Nothobranchius furzeri: one gene and its partners. The protein of the gene in region 1 interacts with the protein of each later gene in a pairwise test. Links are inferred from orthologs where the notes say so. Each region holds a gene or a part of one and is shown on either strand. Other genes may lie near its edges.

Region 1 (4,109 bases):
AGACCGAGCTAGGGCTCAGATGGAAAATAGAAAGGTACGTGCTAATGTGACGGAATATCAGCCGTTTGTCCACAGAGGATTTAAAACAGTCGTGTTTGTGTTTCAGAGACGGATAAAAGACAAAATCTGAAACGTTTCTCTAGATTATCATCTTTAAAATCCCAGATTAACTGGGTGGGAAGCCCCGCAACCACCGAGCATAAAAGATGTGATTAAATCTGACAGGAAGCACTTCCTGCCTCAAACGATAACTTTAAAACCAACAGTCACCTGGAAATGATCTTGTTTCCTGCAGCCGAAGGCGCTGAGATTATTCTAATCTCTGTTAATCCGACTGATGTTTGAGGGGTTGTGAATTTAAGGCACCTGTAGCATCCTTTTGTTTGAGGCGCCCCCCCCCACATCAGGCTGTCAGCGGGTTTAGTGATGGAGGCGTGGAACAGGTGGACTGCTGAGGGTGACGCGTGCCTCTTCAGGAGCAGGGAGGAGTGAGACGTGGTGACATCAGGTGGCTGCGTGGACTCAGACGCTTCGTTAGTGCCGGGGGACGATGGCAGAAGGAAACACCTGTTGCTATGGAGACAAAAGGTAAACAAATGAGACGTGAGACCTTTCAGGTGCTGCTTACAGCTCAGGAATGTTCCTTTACCATTCCTGGATCGCCTCGCTGAACATCTGGCGTCCTTCTGGAGTAACCATGAGGCCCCGCTGTGTCCACCACCTAGAGACGAGAGAACAACAAAGTCCAGGTGAAACAAACCAGATGTTTATATCTGACCGCCATGTCTTTAGAAGACTCTGGACCTCTGCTGGAGCGTCCTCCCACACAGGCCCAAAGGGCAGGAAGAGGGGTCCATCAGCGGGCTGGTACAGATACTCGGACGGCTGAGGGTACATCACTGCGCCAGGGGGCACAGGCACCTCCACGGTATTCCACGGATACGGATTTGGGAAATTCTGCAGGGAAGCAGAAAGAAGGTTTTAGGTGCACGGGGACGCGGACGACTGCGAATCAGTGAAAGCAGCGCTGGTTGTGAACGGACCTGGAAGTGGTGGTACTGCTGCTGGTGAACGTGCTGATGGGACGGAGGCAGCATCAGGTTAGGAGCCGGCTACAAACCAAAGCAAATCTGTGTTTCCTTACGTGGTTAGCTGCTTCGGACGCATCCTAGTGAAGGTGGTTTCGTACTCACGGGCCAGAACTGCACATCTGGGCTCACGTTGGCACAGTGGAAGTACGCCATCCCATTGTTGTAGGTGTAGGGGAAACCTGTGGAGGTGGACATGACGAACGTCCCACAGGATACCTGAGGCACGGCGGGTCCAAGCGGGGTCATGTGGGTTCTCCTGGCTGCAGACAAAGCCAACAGTTACAGAGTCCGTCTGACCCAGCGGCTCGTTCGCTTCGGTTGTTCCAGACTCACGTCTTCCTGAGCCCTGCGGCCTTTTTATAGCACGGGCGATGCGGAGGATCCTGTCTCTGCAACGGATCCCACTCCTCTGTAAGAAACAAGTCCAGTAAGTTTGGATAAATCACCACAAACCCAATCGTCTGCAGCAGAGCCGACCACTCACAAGGCTCAGGACTCTCATGGCGTCTTCAGCTGTCTCAAACGTAACAAACCCGTACCTGTTCAGAGAGGAGAGCGCTCAGGAAACAAGCGGATGACTGGAATTCTGTCAGAAACACCACAAACACACACCCTTTTGATATTCCTGACCGATGTGACACGATCTTCACCTCCTTCACTTCCCCGTACTGCGAGAAGACCCGTCGCAGGTCGCTTTCATCAACCTTGAAGCACAAATATCTGCATTTTTTACGGCGTTACTGTTTAAAACCACTTGTTTCTGTATAGGAGACGGAAAAACCTCACCTCATCACCGATCCGGCCGACGAAAATCCCGTTAGGAATGATGGTGCCAGGGGTGTGGGTGAGACAGCTGGGGGCGTTGGCAGGGTCTGCTGGGAGTAAGACATCCGGGAGAAAGGAGGTGCCTCTGCTGAGGTGGGAGGACAGCGGCTGCAAAAAGAAGTAAGAGGGGTTTAAGCTGCAACGGTTTGGAAAAATCAGAAAGACGAAAGAAAACAATCATTATTAACTCTTCAAAAGACAACCAGCATAAAAGGGTCTTTTCAAGGTCACCGGCGGTCAGGAAGCGTAAACATCAGTCAGCTGCAGCTAACCGCCAACAAAACTCCTGTTTCATCTTAGTTCGTCAGTCTCTCTTAACACAAAACAACCGAGTTCATATTTTAGAGTAAAAAAAAAAAACGGAAACTGTTGGTAAAACGTGTCTGAACCTGAAATTGTAGCTTATTTGTTAGCATCTTAGCACCGCAAACGGGTCAAACTTTTACATTTTATGCTTTTTTACGATCGAAAAAACAAAATAGAAGTCTAAAAAAATAATGTATAATTAAACTTGAATTATAAAATTGTTATTGACGAGACGAAATCCAAACGTAACCATTTGTCAACTTGCTCGATAGTTTCTTTGCCTCCTGTTAGCAAATAAATGACGGGACTCACCGTGCCTTGGTCTTCCCTCTGCATTGTGGCGTTAATCTGAGTAGTTTATGACTGAAGATGAATAATCTCTGCAGACTGCAGGAACTGAGATGAAACAGGACCGAGCGCTTTAGCGGTTCTACTTCGACGGTTGCTTCCAAGGTTACGGCTCTTCCCCTGACGTCAGTTGGCAAAATAAAACGTTGGAAGTATTTTTTTTCCACTGAAGAAGTTAAATAATATAAAATCCCAATGCAAATGCGATATAACTATAAATGCAATATTTTTTATGTTTAAAAATGTATTGAAGTTAGTTTGGCGAACTAAGCTAAGCTAACTAAGCTAAACGCAAAAGCGGAAATGTACTGCACTTTCTGTCCGCTGGAGGGCGCCAAATATTTCCGTTCAGCAAATCGAGTTTATTTAAACATTTTTTAGAATATTTCCACACAAAATGACACAAAGTGATACTTGTTTTGAAGCATTTTTTTAAATAATTAGTCTAAAAGTTGTTTTTTTAATGTTTTAGTAGAAAACAGCCGAGTTTTCTGGGTAATAATTTACTTTGTGATTGATTTTTAACGTACAAAGCTTTATCTCCATGCAGTCTCAGTGGAACACGGTAAGATTAATTTAATAAAAATTAAATGAACTGCGCAATAAATATTTAGAAGTAAAAGGAAGAGCAAATGTTAAAACGTGGGCAAAAATGAACATTATTGCAGTATAATTTCCTGCCACACAGTGGCGACATTTCACTGCAAATATGATAGTTTCTGTTTCCATGAAGTTTGAAATGTTTGTGGCTGAAATGACGATTTGTACCATCTAATTTCACCAATTAATGTTTGGAGCCACAAAAGATATCCAAATATTCATATATACTGATAAATCACTAATTTATGTTGAACATTAAAACAGTTGTTCAGTGCAAAACTCAAGCATTTAATGCAGAGCATCCTGCTGAGAACGACCCACTTGACAACTTGCAGTGCTGCGAAAATGCATTTGTCTCCTTACAGCTTTATCTTGTTTTTGCTTTTCTGCCTCACTTTATTCACATGTCACAAAAGTTTTAACTTTGATGCAAACACCCACTTCGGAATAACAATTAACATGAGGTGTTAATGGTGATTTTAAAAGCTTGTGTCTGCTTTGGATGTTTGTCTGATGGAGCTATAATTTGTCAGTGATTGCTGTCATTTACACACCCCCACCTTTCCCTTCTCCTCCCTTAGGCCACAACAAAGCCGCTGCACAACAAACAGTTCACAGGTAAAATAAACTATTTTTGTTATATTTTCATAAACCTGCATGTTTGAGTTTCTTTTTAACAGAAAATGCAACATGCCATGAGTGTTTCCCACCATCACCGCCCTCATCTGAGTAATGTGGGCAGCTCCATTACTTGTCACTCATCTACAGCCTTTTCTAATTACCGGGTGAATGTGCCAACGAGGTCTGGCTGTGCAAAATGAGAAGGGCATGTTTGATAATTACAGCCATTTACAGCTAAACATCCTTTTGTGTTCCCTGGTGATCATTAAGTGCAGCTTTGAGACGAACTTTTACATGATCCGAGTAAGAGAGAAGAAT
Region 2 (3,567 bases), on another chromosome or scaffold:
CCGGAGCCCCTTCGGAGCTTCTTGGGTTTGCTAAGTTAGCTAGTAGCTACATTGGTTCAATTTTTTTTCCAACCGTAACAGCCCCACCCTTAGCTCTACCTCTTTTCCCATTTTGGCACTGTCTGGGCATGACGAGACGTGTGACATGGTCAAAATGGCGGTGGTGGGAACCTCCCATTTTAAATCAAAAGCTTATAAATGGAGTCTATGGACATTATTTGTACAGTAAATATGTCGGACCCATGAGTCAATGGGAAGGGTATCAATCAATCAATCAATCAATCAATCAATCAATCAATCAATCAATCAAAGCTTTATTTATAAAGCGCCTTCCGCAACCCTGTCAGGAAGCCCAAAGCGCTGAAAGGGTAGGAGATTTAGGCTTAGTAATCTTGTTGTTTCATCAGAATGAAGCTGGTAAAATCTGCTGCCACCTAGCTGCCAGAGTTTGAATTGCATCACAGGAAATAAATACAGTAAAAGTTTGCATTTGAATTCTCAATAAAATTTGATACACTGCTAATATCAGTTAAGTATCATAACACAAAATATTGCAATATTTCAGTGTATTGATTTTTTCTTACATCCCTAATGAGAAGTAAGGTGCAAATAGCTCTTAGTTATACCCATGAAATCCTTCTGCTTCATTAATATTTAAACCAAATCTTTTAATGATGGTGTTGCATCCCTTTTCTTGCATCTGGCCAATGTATCATCAAGTTTGAGCATGAATTGCGGGTGCTGTAATTGAACACAAACGTGAACTAACAGAAAACTAATGAAACACGCGTGGCTCTTACCGCAAAGATAACACTGGGGTGTAGTTTATTGTAGGGGGTGAACTTAGTCTTCACAGGCTTCCCCGCCAAACGCTCTTTGTGTCTCCTGCTGTTCATGTGCTAAAAGAGAAACAAGATAAAAAAAGAAAACAACAGCAACAAATCCTTTACTTAGAGCAGTTGTAAAATTAGGTAAATGAAATAACGATAATGCATCAACCCATTTACCTGCTTCAGCTGTGTTTCTGAGTTAACAGACACTTGGCACAGCTCACAGTGAAAGGCCTGATTGGTCACACCGACCACCGCTCTGCTCTTGCTCCTGATTTGCTGTTTAATTCGGCTTTTTGGCCTCTGAGATGATCCCGATTTGACTCTGCGGTGTGAACGATGGCTGTGCTGACCGTCTAGCATCTGTTTGTGCTTCGACCCTGATTCAACCACCCAGAGGGGAGAGATTAGTAAGCTAGCATAGATTCAAATGATAAGGGTCTTCACAGTAGTAAAATGAAAATGTATACCACTACAGTGAGACTCTAGCTGGGAGCTAGAATTGACTGTCACTTTGCAGGTTGGACAGTGAAGATGCTTTTTGTTTTCCCTGGCCTCCTTCCCAGTCTCCTCCTCCTCTCCTCCTGTGGAGCTTCCTTGGATGTCAGAGTGTGGTGCTGAAGCAGAGTCTGGGCTGCACACATCTGCATGAGGACTGCTTGAAGGTGGATCAGAAAGCTCAGATTCTGAGGAGATTTGTGGAGTCTGGTGAGCCAGGGGGAGTGGTGAGGAGTCTGTGGATGAAGGCAGGGCTGTTGCTGAGCACTCCTGGGTGTTTTCAGGATGCTGTTGTGCTGTGTGGGATGAAGTGCTGGAGTCTGTGAACAGAGGGCAAAAACAAGCTGCTTAAAATATAGAAAGAGTTTTTTAAACCTTCAGTCATTGTTTACTTTTTAAAATGATTCTGCATATTCCACCTTTAGAATGGTGTTAAATGGATGTTATGTTCTGTATTTGGATTCCTATTTTTTTAAATGACCAAACTAACACTTTGAGAGAAATTTTTGACTGTTAAAATTAAAAAAAAATATATTTGTATTTTCTCTTTTCTTGTGACTGCAGTTGAGAAATTTGAATATGCCCTCTGTTTTGTGGGTTAAATAAAAAGCAAATAATGCTTGTGTGATGCTGCAACTGTTAGGGTCTAGGATTTTTATGGATAGATTCATTCAATTATTTTATTTTTCAACATTTATCCTAATTAAATTTATTGGCAATTAATGAATCATGCAGCCTTTAAAATTGAATATGAATAAAATGTACGAAATCAATATGATTAAGTTTAAAAATACACATGATCTTTGTTCATTATTTGTTATTTTCTTTTATCTCACCCTCTGATTGTACCTTGTCTTTTTTCTATCATCTATAGCATTTTCATATATTTTTCTCCTTTTTTCTGTCATCTTAATCGCTCTTCCTTTGTCCTCATGCCTCTCTGCCATCTGTTGGTTTTCTCTGCCCAATCTCCCACCGTCACATCAATCAACAACCATGGCAACCACTGAAGGTAACAAGCTTATCATTATGTGCTTCGAGGGGGAAATTGATAGGTGTTGCAAGAAAATGGGAGGCAGAGGATCAATAATGGAAAGGAAAAGCAGACAGAGGGAATAGAAAAGACGGTGGTGATATTTTGTTGTCAGACAAAATGAGAAGCTACAGGACTGATGGCTGGCAGAAAGTAAAACCATAAACTGCAGAGTCATTACTCAGAAATTAGTTCAGATGAATAGAAACATTAGAAAATTATGTGTATTTTTAAAAATGATTAATAACTTATTTGTGGGTTTTAATGAGATAATGTGTAGTTTTTACTGTTAATCTCTGGAAATTTCCATCCAAATGTTGAAAATGAATTTAAAGAGCAAGTCACCCCAAATCAGGTTTTTTTCTGATAAACTACATAAATGTGTGTCCAATCGTGCTGCAGACACGTGCAGTCAATAGTTTTGCACTTTTGTGCATTTTCGTTTAAATTAAAATTTTCTGCCTAAAACTGTCAGTGTTGTGTCGGTGAATTTAAATCTGCCATCGCTATTGGCTAAGAGGTACCCTAGAATGTTAGCTGGTACAATATGATGTCACAATGTCGTTGTGAGCCTGTGTGTGTATGTATTTGTTTGCGGCTCTGCCCTCTTGGTCTGCTAGGCAACAGCATTTGTTGCATTTTTCAAACAGGAAGTGGGAGTTGAGTAAGAATCTGGTAGCCACTCCCCCTGGCTCACCAGACTCCACAAATCTCCTCAGAATCTGAGCTTTCTGATCCACCTTCAAGCAGTCCTCATGCTTGCTCTTTAATGATGCCCAGTTGTTGAAAAACATTGGTGGCTTCGTAACATATAACTATAAAAATCAAGTCTAAAATACATGGGAGTGGGTGTAAGACTCCATATTAAGCCCGGATCACACTGTGTGATTTGCGGCTGTCTTAACCAAATCCCTCGTCTGGAACATAATCATGAATCATCATTCATGATAAAAAAAAAGGTGAATGTGAGGGAAATTTGCATATCAGACCGGCTCGGTTGCAGATGTTTGAGCCGTCTCACAACCCAAATCAGCATCCGACAATCTACAAGCATGCTTGAAAACGTAAGACTCCTGTCTGCAGTCGAGAAAAGAAAACATGCATTTGGGGGCTTTGGTTTCAATTTATGTTTAAAAGTGGATTATAAACTAGACACTAGTTTTTATTCTGTTAATAGCCCAAGTAAAACGGGAGTTATACAAAAAA
Region 3 (3,567 bases), on another chromosome or scaffold:
TGTATGTGAATTCTGACTTTAACTGTATATTACTGATATACAAATAAACCAAATATCTGCAGGAAGACAAACAGCTTAAATAAACTAACAAGAACACAGATGAACGTCGTCTAAGAGCTAAACAAAACAGACGTGGATAATAAACGTTACATTTACTTCGTTCACCCATAAAATCATGTCAATAGGCTAAATGCCCTCTATGATGAGTGTGGAATGGTTTTTGGCACACACACACACACGGTAACAGAGACAGCCACGGACACGCGAGGATGCAGGAACTGTGCGTGTTTGTGGGTGCATACTGACACACACTGCCACGCTTATATATAGGCCTAGTGGACTCTATATATAGAGTGAATAATGGTGGGATGGGATGAAAAAGAAGCAGGTAGGAGACAAAGTGAACTGTAGTTGGGCCACTTACATGGACACATTGGAAGTGTACAGGAAACTGAATTCTTCAGAGCGCAGAGTTTTATCCCAGACAAAGAAAAGTACAGTGTGACTTTAGGTACAGCAAATCTCTCTCGTTTTCTTCATCAAGGCTACAGACATGCACACTACCGGCATCTATTGAAAAGAAAAGCAACTAGCCAACGTCCACTGGCATGCACCGAGCAGAATAAAACCACCTTCATAAAGATTTACTCTCTGAAGGCCTTTTAAAGACACTCAGGAAAAGTTCATGCTAACTACACAAGGAAATTTAATTTTGTGCCCCATCGTCAAAAATAATCCACCAAAGCAGTCATACAACACATGCAGCTTAACAAATGTAGATCCGTCCACACGTCGGCCCCCGTTAGGCAGCAAATACCCACATGAACCATGCACACCCAGGCTCCGCTAGCTAAATCCATGCCAGTGAATAGTAATAAACTGCAAAGTAACATATTCACAGACAAGTGGGACTGTGTTTCAGTGCTGTTGAACTGAAATCAGTTTTTGCCTTCCCAATTCTGAAAACACATTTCAGCAAACACAGAAATCAAACGGCCAATGAAAGCCACATCTGAAAGAGTGGGGGTGGGGGTCTGCCCGGGAGCATCGCCTCAAATAGCAATGCCCAACTTCTTCAGCTCGGGTTGAAAGAATGTATAAACACCATCGCTTGTCCTCCCACGCTAACCTTTTGTCTCTTCAGGCTCATGCACCATAAACAGACAAAGAGAGACACACTCCACAGCGTCCACCATGCTGCTGATGCCCAACTCACTACGGACCATCACCACTACTGGAGCACGACAGAACGCATGCAATGTGACAACTCAAAACAAAGACTGAACCCCTCGCCGCTTGAGAGAAAAGTGACTGATATCATGCGGAGAAAAAATAAAAGGAACTGGGTTGAAACAAAACCAGAGAACACAGACACGGGTGGGACGGATGCAGGACGGCTGCATCAGCATCCACCCAGCTTGCTGATTGACTGAAGGTGGAGGTGGTGGGAGGGATCATGTCGTATCGGTGTATGCAGGTGGCGGTCTCTCGCGCTCAACCACACTGCGACAGAAGTGAGAGTAAAAGAACTAGAAGCGTCCAGCCTCATTTGTCATGCAGGAGCTCACTCGCACACACACACGCACGCACACACACCTCCGCACACACCCAAAGGAAAGCCCATGCACAAATCCTGGCTTCCGTCGAGGGATTGCATATAAACAACTGACTTAAACCCCAAAATAGAACAGAAAAATCCACTTTCAAACACTCAGCACATGCTTCAGAAAAACATAAACAACATGTATTTGAATTAAAAAAAAATTAATGCATTTAAGCAAACAGAGTTGACTGGAAAGGACCCAGCCCTCCATAAAGTGAACATGCGTCAGTGTTGCTGTGAGTCCCAGCATGCTGCTGCACCAGGAGCCATCAGCTGTCACAACCACAGCACCAGCAGAGGGGAACACAAGAAACGTCCACGCCAGGGAAGAAGATAAGACGGCATTCTGCCATGCATCATCCTGTCACTGGGCTCCCCTCATGCCCCCCCCCGCTTCCAGCTAAACATCATTCCAACTGTCGAACGAGACATTCTAGCATCAGTGTGTGAACATGTTGTGCATCATTAGAAAAAAACAAACGTAAAATCTAAAAGGTTAGTGTGAAAACGCAGCAGAGGAGAAGCATGCTTTCATCTGGTATTCTTGCACCACCCTCAGATCGTTCCCACCACATAGACTGGATATAAATAGGAAACGAGTCTCTTCGGATTAAAAGAAAACAAAACAGGAAACATGTTGCAAAGGACTGGGGAGTGGGATACTAGTGGGCTGCATCAGAGCATGTCACATCAGGGAGGATGGGATGGATCTAGCTAGCAGTCGGTGATCAGGCAGAGCTGATGGGAGAAGGAAGGCAGAGAAAATTACCTCAATCTTACGACCTTCCACCAGAGTGCCGTGGAGCTTTTCCCTGGCTTTCTCCGCATCGGCGCTGGTTTCAAATGTCACGAAGCCGAAACCCTGCAGTGTGCAGCAGAGGTTAAAGAGACAGATGGAGACTCGGGGAACCGCCGTGAAGGAGGACTCTACATCCTAGCTGGTTACCGTTCACCTACCTTTGACCCCCTCTCGTTGAATATGATCTCAACATCCAGAATCTTCCCATATTGCTGCAAAAACATCAGATTAGACAAATTAACAAATAAGGCCAATAATAGAGGAAGTAACAGTTTAGGCAGCAACTCAACACTAGGGGTCACTGTTGCACCAAAGACAACTCCAGCGTCAGAGTTTTCCTTTTGAACCCTGCCCTGTCCCATTCCTCCTCTCATTTTGTCACTTGCCCTAACACACTGACATACATAACAACTTAAAAGAACCCCCCACCCCCTCAGGGTGTTTTTCTTTCTGCTGGTTGGACTCTTTTGTCAGCCACCAGAAAGGCAACCCTTCTGCGGAGCACCCAGGATGTCTAGACTGATTTATTGATCGTGTTTGAGGCCCCGCAGCATTCCAAGTTTCTTACCCCAAACATCTGCCTGAGGTCTGGGTCCCGAAAGCGGAAGGGGATGTTTGAGACGTGGAGGCGTTTGGGGGTGCCCTTCGCCTCCGTGGACTCTGCTGCAGAGCCTCCAGCTCCTGCTCCTCCTGCAACACACTGAGCTCCCACCTCACCCTGAGCGGCCTCGTCCAGCTTTACCTGGGGTGTTTGGTTAGATTGGGGGGGGGGGGGGGGGGGACAAGGAAAGAGAATTAAGGACTTGGAAATAACACTTTGGTGTTTACCATGTGTAGAAATAAAATACAGGAAGTTAGGTAAACAAGTTTTTGCGACACTAAAAGTCCAATAAAATGTTCCAGCAGACGAACGTTTACGTAAAAAACAAACGAAAAGTGAGCTGAAGAAGCGTGTGACGGACTAAAATAGCAGCGTGTTGGTTTCTGACGGGAGGATGAGGTTTAAATAGTTTCTGTGGAGCCGTAATAGCAGCTCTGTGAGGCCAAGAAGCAGAGCTTTGAACTTTTCGCTAACGTCAGCAGTTTCATCTGACCTGAAACTTCAGCTTTCTTCACCATCAGCTGCTAGCACTCAAACATTAGCTACACATCGTTAAGCTAATAA
Region 4 (3,466 bases), on another chromosome or scaffold:
TCTGGCCTTCAAAGATGGCAAATTGCTGAGTAAACTTGGTGCTGAGTGTTTTTAGCATAATCATGTGTGTTTATATACATATCTATGGTTTCCAGTTTGTCCAAGGCTGACTCACTAATGCCACAAAGCACTATGGGATTTGTGGTCTTTCCGGCAACATGGGCCAGCAGGCCAGTGTTAATATATGTTTGATCTTGAGGGTCTAAGTTTGACACCTGTGACTTACTGCACTGAAACCTGGGGAACGACACACTCACCCAGTTTTGATTTGACCAAAAACAGCCAGGCTATTATTTGCTGGGATGTAAATATAAAATTGGGTGATCTTTGAAGACTCGAGGGATTTTGTGAAGTGTGTGAAGTCCAGCGAGGAGCACGGCAGAGAAGCTGCTCTGCGGCAGAAATTCTCCCAGTGTGTACTGACTCAAGTCACGAGTAAACCACTGCACTCTGCTGATGCCTCCAGTGTGAAGCGGGCATAACGCCCCCCAATAAACACGTCCACCACAGACATTAAGAATTACTCAGAACATGAACTAAAAAGATACAGTTTATTCAAAACCAGCGAGGGAAACACGTTTGTACAAAAATACACAAATGTTACATGTTTGTCAAGACTTGTTCAGCTTTAACCTGCTTACACCACCGATGCTCGTCTGCATGCAGCACCAGAGTGGAATAAGCCTTAAACCATAGTCTTAATTTCCCTATGTAAAATTAACAAATCCAAATACGTTGTAATTTTCCACTTGGAAGAATGTTGAATCCTGGATACTTGAGTTGAGACAAAAATGGGAAATTCATTGTTATAAATATTAGGAAGAAAGCTGAAGGTATGAGTTCTCAGATTCATCTCTGGTGTCGTTCACTTCGACTTTGTGCTGCTTTTCCCGCCTGATTCGTCTGCTTTTTTCTGCTTTTGTTGCATTATTTCAGCATCCCTTTGGTGGGAAAACAAAACATTAAAATAATTACTTTGACAGAACACAAACGGTGTTTTAAAAACACTCATGCTGCATGACTATGAACATAAGTGGAGTTGTATATAAAAAGCTATACGACAAACACCATTATGGCAGTAAATTAGACCACAGGACTCAATAAGCAAATATTATAGTGGACCTCCGTTCAATGTCGTTTACCTCTGTTTCCGTGCAGCTGCAGAAAGCCCGTCCTCGTTACGCTTTCCTTTAGTCTGTTCCGTTTGCTTTTTGGCACTTTTCTGGCGTGCAAGCTCACGTTGGTTTCCTCCTGCACAACATGAAATAAACACAATGCGGATTCAGTTGTAAAGATGCTCTAAAGCGGCTGTAATGAATCTAACTCGAGAGCAGAGAGCAGCCGACGTGGCAGAGCCGCCGAAGAGCAGCCCAACGCCAGCATTTAGCCGCATCCAGGCAGCCGAGTTTGCATGGACACGATCACGGAGTCAAATACAAAACAAAAGAATTTTAAACACTTCAAACAAAAATTTTATTATCTGTAGCTTTTTCTACTCGATTATTCTTCCGCTGTGTTCTTGCTGCAAGCTACAGGGCTAATACCAACATCCAAACAACCCTTTGACCCACCGATTCGAAGTCGTCTTACATAAGTCGTCCAAAGCACACACATACACTTTAACTTAAAACACCGAACACTTCATGAGTGGATGACGTTTAAAATCTTATTTATTAGCGATGATACTGTCATTTAACAGTAAATACTCCAATGAACCCCGTCTATTTGCTGGAACAGCAAGCTGACCCAGCAACATATATAAACGTTAACGTGATCATGCGCCGATCATCTAAACACTTTAAGACCAAATAAAGATGTCGTTACACACTTGTCATTTTAGCAACCGACGTGTCTTTCGGTCAAATTCCAGATAAGCTCAGCCAAAGGGCCACTGGCTCCCAGCACGTCTCCCCAGTCGCTTTTCCTGCTCTGGTTGCGCCGACAGAAAAAAGTAACTAGTCAGAAACTAGAACATTCCGCCCAAACACACCAACTGCGCGTGCGCACGCTCAGGCACGTCTGTTACGCTCGGTCCTTGTAAAAAGTGACGTACCGGGTGCGTCTTTTGGAATTCTAGGATGTCCAAGGAAGGTCCCGCCTTTCTCGCCACTGATTGGCTAGATGGACTCTACTACGATTGGCTACTTAATGAAGCAGCAAACCGTCTTCCCTTGCTAAGTGCAGACTGTCCTCTTGCCACCAACAGAACACATATTTTGGGGATTTTATTTTGTTTTTTTAAGAAAATAAGAACTTAGCGCCATTCTGCCCTCTTTTGCAAAAGTTTTTTTTGTTTCTTTTATTGAAAAACTGAGAAACGTAAGAAGTGAACTTATAAATCTTATTGCATTTATCACACTGTGGGACTTACTTTATGTCTATGGCTCTAAAGCACTGATGTTATCTTATTACAGCAGGGTGCATAGGAGAAATGTAAGAAATATAATAAAACGGCCCTATTTTACCCAGCCGTGTGCAGCAGGTCTGTTTCTCTTCTAGAATAATGAAAACTGCTGAAAAGGTGTTAGGGTTTAAATCATAATCAGCTTTGAACTAATTTCAATTAAAGATGCAGATTTAAACACATGAAAGACGTGTCCTCACTTTCATCCTGCTTGCTTAACAGCCTCAGCCCGTATTTCCAAATTGTTATCAAAAGGCATGAGCATGAAAATACGCCATGCCGATTACATCACAGATGTTATTGAACAAGTACAGAACACCTGTGTGTGTGCGTGTGTGTGAATAAGTATATTGAACTGCCAGCTATGTCACCAGCAAACAACAGAGAAAGGTTAGATGAACATTTGAGGGCGTGCCTATTACTTTTTTACAGTGTTGGACACACCAGCAGAGACACACTGGGCTAGGGAGTGTGGTGCCAGTCTTCTGGGCAGTGCACCACTCCCTTCTTTTTCCTTCCCATAACTGTGTTCTCTCCAAGCTCTCTTTGGAGGTCGACCAGTGATGAGTGACCGTCTGCCCCCCAGTGAAGTTTTACGGCGAGCAACAGCTGCAGGCTGCACACCGATCTGTGCGCTCACTGCAGACCCTTTCATGGCTGCGGTTTGATCTTACATGCAGCAGCACTCCTCATCCTCCCGAACGTACAGTGCTGAAATCAGACTGCTGTCTGTGTGTTTTTGTAAAGACTGATCAGACGGATGTCATTGGGGCTTTGAAGGATTCATCCTTTTTCATCTTGTCCATAAGGTAATCACACAGGGATCTAAAACTAGGCTCAAAATGCTCAACATCCAACTGACATTGTGATGCTTCTTTTTCTGCTCCAGATTGTTGTGGTGCTGGGGGAGTGGTTGCTTCAGCTTCTTCTTGGGTGCCTATTTAGCGGAGCACAGACAAGGACTGATATCACAAGTTATCACTGTTTGGTTCAATTAGTTTACCTGCCAAAAACGACTTACTTGTACCGAGTGGGTGTGTTCTGCAGTCCTCTTCCCTCTCA

Evidence for each region.
Region 2: the proteins of protein boule-like (region 1) and zinc finger protein 385C interact in a two-hybrid assay, tested with the Homo sapiens proteins (2 studies listed by BioGRID). The two-hybrid records come from large-scale screens. The link is inferred for Nothobranchius furzeri from reciprocal best matches to the Homo sapiens genes BOLL and ZNF385C.
Region 3: the proteins of protein boule-like (region 1) and RNA binding protein fox-1 homolog 2 interact in binary tests that used the Homo sapiens proteins (3 or more experiments, as listed by UniProt). The two-hybrid records come from large-scale screens. The link is inferred for Nothobranchius furzeri from reciprocal best matches to the Homo sapiens genes BOLL and RBFOX2.
Region 4: the proteins of protein boule-like (region 1) and small EDRK-rich factor 2 interact in a two-hybrid assay, tested with the Homo sapiens proteins (2 studies listed by BioGRID and IntAct). The two-hybrid records come from large-scale screens. The link is inferred for Nothobranchius furzeri from reciprocal best matches to the Homo sapiens genes BOLL and SERF2.

Annotation. Positions count from the first base shown.
Region 1 is NC_091754.1:47,836,604-47,840,712, reverse strand, and holds the start of protein boule-like, read right to left. Parts: upstream 2,861-4,109; 5' UTR 2,559-2,860; coding exon 2,535-2,558; intron 2,222-2,534; exon of another isoform or gene 2,126-2,221; coding exon of another isoform or gene 2,120-2,125; intron 2,025-2,119; coding exon 1,878-2,024; intron 1,796-1,877; coding exon 1,704-1,795; intron 1,631-1,703; coding exon 1,576-1,630; intron 1,501-1,575; coding exon 1,425-1,500; intron 1,352-1,424; coding exon 1,194-1,351; intron 1,113-1,193; coding exon 1,044-1,112; intron 958-1,043; coding exon 805-957; intron 722-804; coding exon 650-721; intron 574-649; coding exon 535-573; 3' UTR 1-534. UniProt on the Homo sapiens protein: Probable RNA-binding protein, which may be required during spermatogenesis. May act by binding to the 3'-UTR of mRNAs and regulating their translation.
Region 2 is NC_091756.1:38,858,920-38,862,486, forward strand, and holds part of zinc finger protein 385C, read right to left. Parts: intron 1,649-3,567; coding exon 1,301-1,648; intron 1,211-1,300; coding exon 1,008-1,210; intron 900-1,007; coding exon 801-899; intron 1-800.
Region 3 is NC_091752.1:66,506,584-66,510,150, forward strand, and holds part of RNA binding protein fox-1 homolog 2, read right to left. Parts: intron 3,145-3,567; coding exon 2,971-3,144; intron 2,615-2,970; coding exon 2,561-2,614; intron 2,466-2,560; coding exon 2,373-2,465; intron 1-2,372. UniProt on the Homo sapiens protein: RNA-binding protein that regulates alternative splicing events by binding to 5'-UGCAUGU-3' elements. Prevents binding of U2AF2 to the 3'-splice site.
Region 4 is NC_091749.1:75,953,519-75,956,984, reverse strand, and holds small EDRK-rich factor 2, read right to left. Parts: upstream 1,987-3,466; 5' UTR 1,836-1,986; coding exon 1,829-1,835; intron 1,252-1,828; coding exon 1,143-1,251; intron 942-1,142; coding exon 866-941; 3' UTR 533-865; downstream 1-532. Other genes in the region: uncharacterized protein, read right to left, coding at 3,157-3,341, 3,426-3,466. UniProt on the Homo sapiens protein: Positive regulator of amyloid protein aggregation and proteotoxicity. Induces conformational changes in amyloid proteins, such as HTT, driving them into compact formations preceding the formation of aggregates.